Linked DNA regions of Notamacropus eugenii. The protein of the gene in region 1 purifies or fractionates together with the protein of each later gene. This does not show direct contact. Links are inferred from orthologs where the notes say so. Each region holds a gene or a part of one and is shown in the gene's direction. Other genes may lie near its edges.

Region 1 (3,752 bases):
GATGGGTATGATGAGATGAAGACATTTCTGAGTTAATATGGACATGAACCACTTATTTTGTGATAGCCTTATCAAGGTCACAGTTGACATGAAGGAGTAAGTTGGTCTTGGGAATTGAGCACATGATTTTAAGGTGCTTGAGGAAGCATTAACCAATATGTATTGAAGTCTTCAGTTTGAGGGCTGGAGTTGTGGAGAGAAAGATTATGTAAGATTATGAAAGATTATTTAGTCAGGCAACTCATTAGGGAAGAAGGGAGATTGTGAGGGGTAGGGTTTGGAAGGATCCAGATTGGGGGATAAATTTGGAAAGCTTGTACCTTCAAGAAGAGGTTGCTGAATGATGATAGTAGAGGGAGAGTCTGAAAGTGGCAATGAAAAGCCAGAAGTCTTCCAGTTCCCTCTCAGAGCAGGTTTTGAGGTATGAATTGTCGTACCTTGGGGTACAACCAGGTGGGAGCATGTGTGTTCCAGTCGCCTAGTAAGAGAGTAGAAGGGGTGGTGGAGAAAGACTCACTGAGGAAGGAGGGAGCATATCCTGGGAGCAAATTAAATAACACTCTTGATTGAGGTACACATTTGGAGGGGTAGTAAATAGAGCCTGGACCTGGACTCAGGAAGACCTGAGTTTAAAACCTGGCCTCAGATAACTTTACTTATGTGACCGTGGGCAAGTTACTTAACCTGTTTGTCTCAATTTCCCCAAGTGTAGAGTGGTGATAATACTATCTCTCAGGGTTGTTTTGAGGATCAAACGAGATGATATTAATAAAAATGTTTGGCACAGTGCCTGGGACATAGATGGTACTGTATAAATGCTTACCTAACTCTTCCTTATTCCCATATTTCATCACTTGAAAGTAAGGTAGTACAGATTCTTAAGACTTTGCCCACATTATGTGAATGTCTTCATATTGAAATTTTATGTGATACTTTGAATTGGAAGATATCTTAAATAGATAACCTAATTTCTGTCTTTCATTTCTGTAATAAGCGGAGAGGCAGCATGGTGTAAGTCCTGCTTCCTAAGCTGCTATATAGAAGTATCTGACCGACACTGGTAGAGGGATAGTGCCTGTTTGCTAATATGCAGGAATCATGGATTAATATCAGTAAGAAACTTGTCTCATATGTGTATATATATAATATATATACATATATACATATGTATGTCAGTGAATAGAAGAATTTCCAGAAATTTTTTTGTCATATCTTGTTTTGTACATAGTTGTTTGCATATTGTCTCCCCCATTAGACTGTGAGCTTCTTGAGAACGGGGTCTATTTTTTTTTTGCCCTTTTTTTATCTACCCCCAGCGCTTTGCATAGTGCTTGGCACATAGTAGGTATTTAATAAATGCTAGGGGAAGTACAGCTACTTTTAGATAGATGTGAGTCAAAATGATAAATTTACAAGAATCACAGAAAACTCATTCATTTAAGGTACTGATGAATGTGGTTAGCTGAAGTGTATTATCCCTATTTTTTTTAATGAAGATACTGAGATGTAAGGAGGTTATACACTTACTAGTACTATCTAGCTTGTAGGAAAAAATGATAGTTTTGGTTTGAAATTTCCTGAAGAATATTTGTTGCCTTGTAATTATCAAAATTGTCTTTCTAAATAACAAAAGTTTAGCCTAAGGATGTGTCTGTCTAGGCAAATGTCTGTATTTGGTTGCAGATTTTCTCTTATCTCTAAATCCCATCCCAGTACACTGATACCAGTTTTGCCAGGACGTCTATTTTAACAATTCTGGTTAGCATGAAAGGGTTAAAGTGGCTTCTATACAGTAACATATGAAAACAGTTAAGCTGTTTGGAACTGTTTACTTGCATAAATGGATGTTAGTCAGCAGAGGCAGTATACCAGGATACCAGATTTCTTTGTGGCTTTTAGTGGAAAATGTTAAAAGCACGCTCATTTTTCAGCTAAAGAATTTTTTAGTTTGATCTGAATTAGTCACAGAACTGGCATGGGCATTCTAATTGTGAAGACTTTACAAATGTGGCCCTTTTTGGGGGGTGGCTAGAGGAAGTTACATCCTGAGCAGTGGCTCAGTTCTGTGGTAAGTGTAACATGTGAGCATTACTAGGCATTTTATCCTGCGGGTCTGCAGTCTGCTCTTCAGACTAGGCTCAGTCGGAATGCTGCTGTGGGGCTGATTTTTCAGGTCCTGTGGTTGATTTTTCGTCTTTCTTTTTAATGATCAGTTCATTCAAGGGGTTTGTGGCTTTTTCAAAATCATCTACTGAACACAGAAACATCTGAAATCTACTAAAAAGGCTAGCAGTGGAAGGAAGCTGGATTGGCACCGACCCAGATGTTTGAATAAAAGAGTAGTCGGAAAGAAGATGCACGGAGGATTTTTTTTCCCTTGAAGGAGGACTGTATAATGGAAGCTGGATTCATGCAGAGATCAAAGGAAAACACTCAAGTGATAAACTACTTTGTAGAGGAAAAGGTCGAAGCAGTGATTTGAACAGTTATTTGAGCTTCGTAGCTTCTTTAAACCGTTAAGATTTTATTTTGCTAATACCCTTCTTGTTGTGGGTTATTTGCTAGAACAGCCACAGCCAACTGCTGCTTGATGGAGGAGGAATGAGGGCTCTGCATTGCCTGTGCTATTGATGAAAATACAGCTCTCTGCATGCTTGCCGTTTGGGAAATCTCGATTGAACAGGCCATATTCTAACACCAAGAATTTTCTTATTGTCCCTCGTGACCTGACTCATTGCCTGTAAATGTATTGCAGCTTTGCTGTTGATGCAGAAGAGTGGGTTTATTTTTTAAACGTAGAAAGAATTGTCAACCTCTGAGCTCCATGTTCTGAATTTGTGCTGAGCACAGATGAATTTTTTCTGGAGTATATCAGCATTAAGACTAGTGAAACTGAAGAAATGAAGGTTTGACTCTGAGATGGAGATAGAATAGTGAAATTTTAAAATTTGTTTTGATCAAAGAAAGCCAGCTATACGTGACCAAATTGACCTTGCCCGAATTGAGGATAACTGGGATAGACTCTGTCACTGCAGTTGCTTCTCCTTTCAGTCAATACAAAGTGGTGTCATGTCACCCCAAACAATGACCTCTCTGTGCTAACAAAATTCTGCTGTGAAGACAAGGGATACTAAAAAGGCATAATTTTTTTAAAGGATAATTTTTCAAATGAATTTAGATTATACCTGAGATTAATTTACAAAGGTTTTGTTTTGGGTTTTACTAATAATTTATGTAGTAAAGAACTAGTGACTTTGAACAGAATAATAGGACTTGGCAATTTTAGAGATGTTTCAAAACTGTAGGGGGTCAGTCACCACTGGAAAAACTGAAGTTTAAAATTAACTTTTAAATGCCAGCTGTAGTACACAGAATGTTCGCAAGTGTGTACAGAAGAGAAAGACATACTCCCTGTGCTATATCAACTGTAACTTTTGCTATATAGTTTGAAATTTAGTGTTTTAAACGAATGAGTCGGGTGTGTATTGTTGTTTTGGAGGAGATAGAAGATGAATCTCCAACATTTGTTTCCAAATTGCCTCAGGAAAATAAATTCCTTCCATCTCCAGCTTCTGGAAATGCATTGGTAAGATGTGATAGTTTCTTAAGTATTTTTGTATTCTGGTGTAATATGAGTGATTTTTTTTTTTTTTTGCTTTTTAATAATAGACTTTTTAGTCATTTATGTTTTCAGTTTGCAGTAATATCTACCATGTCAAAATGTAAAGTGAATATGTTTCTGATATTCTTGG
Region 2 (3,752 bases), on another chromosome or scaffold:
TACAGGCACTAGGGGGTGCCAGAGTGCATAGAGCACTGGGCTAGGAGGCCCATGTGGCCTCAGACACTCCCTAGCTGTATGGCTTTGGGCAAGTCACTTCACCCTGTTTGCTTGTTTGTTTATCTGTAAAATGGGGCTCACACTGGTACCTACCTCCCAGGGCTGTTGTGAGAATCCAGTGAGGTATTGTAAAGTGCTTAGCCTAGTGCATGGCACTGAGTAAACTGGGGCCTAGGTAAACGTCAGCTGTCAGCATCACCAGCGTCGTGACTGCACTCATTCACTGTCCCCTTTCCACCAGGGCCTGATGTGAGCTGGGAGCACTGGAGGGGAATTCTCATTGTCAAACCCACTATGTCAAGATTTGGAATTTGAAGAATTCCATCGAGCCATTTATGAAATTATTCAAATATCACACAAATGCTTGAAAGGATATTGTCGTCTCCTCTGTTGTAGGAAGTACAGATTGTGTTTAGAGTAGGCGGGAGATTCAGTTTTTTGATTCTGCTTTTCAGAGGTTTTCCCCTCCCCATTGCTGCGTGTTTGGGTAGAATGTAGTAATTGTGCTCACCGGTACTCTGACAGCTTCCTCTAGCACATTTGATGGCATTATTTTTCCTTATTCGAAGGGACCTGGGCTCCTGTTGAAAAGTGCCGGAATAAACTGAACTCTGCACCTGGCCCCAGCCCAAGAGAGACAGAGCGAGAGACAGGCACCCTAATGTCAGCTCGCCCAGGAGGGAGTTTCTCAAAGAACTCAGGGACATGTTTGCAGTAGTATGCTTCTTCATTATTTCATCTTTTTTTTAAATTGAGTGATCAGCTAGTAGCCTTAGAAATGTGTCTTTGTTCACTTAGTGCACAAATAGAAAATTTGGTCGTTTTCAGGTGTTTTAATGGTGGCCGAGTTTCTGTCACAAATACCTTCACAGCAGGGAATTGAGTCCCCTAACAGCTTTATTATTTGATGGTAAAAAGGCTGATTTGATGAAAACAAGTTGTTAGAGAATTGTTAACATTTCAGATTATACCAGTGTTGTATGTGCCTATGCGTGCCTGTGCGTGCCTGTATGCATTCCTGTGGGCGTGTTGTCTGCCCGTGCATGTGTGGGTCCGCTTGTGCGTCCATGTGTGTGTCTGTGCATGCATTCTGCTCTCAGAGGCAGGAGCTTCTGCTCTAACTTCTGCTTCTAGGAGGAGTCCTTCCTAATTGTGCTCCAGATTTTTAGAAGTAAAAATTAAAACTGAGGACTGGGAACTCATTGATGATAGCTTCTGTCTTTCTAAGTAGCACCAATGATTATTGGTATCTTGATGTGAAAAATTAAGAATTCTTGGACCATTTAAAGACTGCCTTACAGAATTCATTTCCCTTTGAGAAAGTGATTCCTTTATCACAAATTGTGGTTTGTAGCCAACTTTTCTGGAACAGATCAGTATTACTAGGTAAAAAGAAAAAGTTCATTTGAAAACTCAAGCCGAAGCTTTTTAGCAACTCCTTCCAAGATTGAAAGTGGCCTGAATGTGTCATTTTAATCTATAGGCATCAGAGTCAGATTTAAAAATCTAGTTTGTCAGTAACTTGACATCAAGAATGGATATTTTTATGAAGTTATTAAAAAAAACCAAGGCATTACTAAGACCTTTCTATGGTGGTTGCTGTGGCCAAATCCCACACTCTCCTGCCCCTGAATTGGCATCTAGCTTCTCCTGTGAAAGACCCTCAATCCTGGCATTGGGCCTGCCCTCTGTGCCTACCAAAGAAGAGCTAACATTTCTGTAGCAGTCACTGTAGCCAGGCACCGTGCTAAGCACTTTGCAGTTGTCTGATTCAGACTCCCGGAGTCAGAACAAACTTGTCCAGGTTCACACGTTGAGGAAGTAACTGAGGCTGGATTTGAACCTCAAGTCTTCATGACTCCAGGCCCAGTCATTTCCACACCACAGTGAGACTTCAGAGGACTTGCGAGACTGGTCTAAGTTGGGGGCCAAAATTCTGAATAAGTGGGCCCCACAGATTGGATCTTTTAGCCTAGTTCAGCAGTTGGCTTTTGTGTTTAATGCTTTGAGTGGGGCACAAAAATCACTGAAAACTGAAGACTCAGTAGCAGTTGCTTCTAGTGCACTCAGCCACGAGAAATCATGGTTTGATGTTTGTGATGAACAGTTTGGGGAGAACTGGTGGTCTAAGCGTTGAGGAAAATATTTTTAATTTAGAAGAAATTTCTGTTACTGTCTTAGAGGTCTAGAGTTCCTGTGGGACTTGTCAATAAATGTTTATTAAATGCCTCCTGTATTCCAGGCACTTTGCTCAGTGCTGGGAGTGCAGATTGAAGTAAAAAAAAAAAATTCCTCCCCTTAAGGAGTTTACACTCTAGGGGAGCGGTGCAATAAGACCTGGGGGAAGGCTAGTGGAACAGCACATTTAGGGTTAGCACGCTGAACCCCTCCCTTAAATGGAGGCTGAGTTTGTGGGTCCCACTCTCCAAGCCCCAGGACCAAGACCTTCTGGGATGGAGATGTTATTTCCCTGGTGAGCTGCCTGGGGAGAAATGAGAAGTTTGTTCCAGTGTGTCCTCTTTGTTTCAGCCACAGATATCTCAATGACATCCTGAGCCCTTCAGACTTCTAATTTCTTGGTGGCTGAAACATTTGATCATTTCTTTCACCTCCCTTGGGGGGGATGGGCATGGCAACCAGCTGCTGGTCTCTAAGATTCCTCCTTGACATCCTTTGCCTGTCTCCCTTCTTTTTAAGTCTTTTAGGCCAAAATAAAATAGTAAAGACAATGCTTGGTTTCTTCAGATTTTTAACCTTTCACAAATTTAGAGGTATTAGAAAATAATCCTGAACAAAACAGTAATTAGTGTGTTACTGATATAAAGGAACTTGGGAAAGAATTTATTGTGTGTGTGTGTGTGTGTGGGGGGGGTGCTCTTGAAAGAGAGTGAGGATGTCATGGCTGCCTTTGTTTTACATGAATTATATTGTCAGCTAGAGACTGGTTGCTGTTACTTTTTTTTGTCTGTTTCAAACAATCATTTCTTTAACCTGTCTCTCTGTCCACTTTTCTTTCTTCATCCTGTTCCTTCTCCAAGCAGAGAGCCTTAGTTCTTTGTGAGCTCAAGCAGGACTTGTGGCAGCTGAGTGTCCCAAGAAGCATCCTTGTAGCCAGATGGGGACTTCTGCAGGCCCTTTTATCTCAGGGATTGGAAGTTTGGGCTTTGGCTTGTTCTCTTACACTTCCTTGTGGGTCAACTGTCTTTGACAGCACCAGATAAGGCTGAGAAGGCAATGGGTATCAGGTGGGCCCGGTTTGTAGTCCCATCACCTCTGAGAGAATGTTTTCAGCTGGGAGTGATTGTGCTATCTACCAAAGCCACATTCTAGGAAATAGTTACCATCTTACAAAGGCAGCTAGGTGGTGCAGTGGATAGAGCACCAGTGCAGGAGTCAGGGGGACCTGAGTTCAAATCTCACCTCAGACACTTGACACTCACTACTTGTGTGACCTTGGGCAAGTCACTTAACCCCAATTGCCTCATCCTGGGTCATCTCCAATCATCCTGATGAATATCCGGTCACTGGATTCAGATGGCTCTGGAGGAGAAGTGAGGCTGGTGAGCTGCACAGCCCTCCCTCACTCAAAACAAAGTCAAGTGCGAGTCATGTCATCATTTCTCTGATGGCATGGTCTTCTTCGGTAATGAAGGACTAATACACATACCATCTTACAGCTGTCTCTGTCAAGG

The links. The genes of interacting proteins can lie anywhere in the genome.
Region 2: the proteins of ANKRD28 (region 1) and PPP6R3 purify together in Homo sapiens (co-immunoprecipitation; 3 studies listed by BioGRID and IntAct, with this or other methods). This does not show direct contact. The link is inferred for Notamacropus eugenii from reciprocal best matches to the Homo sapiens genes ANKRD28 and PPP6R3.

Annotation. Positions count from the first base shown.
Region 1 is NC_092874.1:38,160,825-38,164,576, forward strand, and holds the start of ANKRD28 (serine/threonine-protein phosphatase 6 regulatory ankyrin repeat subunit A), read left to right. Parts: upstream 1-1,144; 5' UTR 1,145-3,469; coding exon 3,470-3,586; intron 3,587-3,752. UniProt on the Homo sapiens protein: Regulatory subunit of protein phosphatase 6 (PP6) that may be involved in the recognition of phosphoprotein substrates. Involved in the PP6-mediated dephosphorylation of NFKBIE opposing its degradation in response to TNF-alpha.
Region 2 is NC_092873.1:20,819,443-20,823,194, forward strand, and holds the start of PPP6R3 (serine/threonine-protein phosphatase 6 regulatory subunit 3), read left to right. Parts: upstream 1-758; 5' UTR 759-765; coding exon 766-777; intron 778-3,752.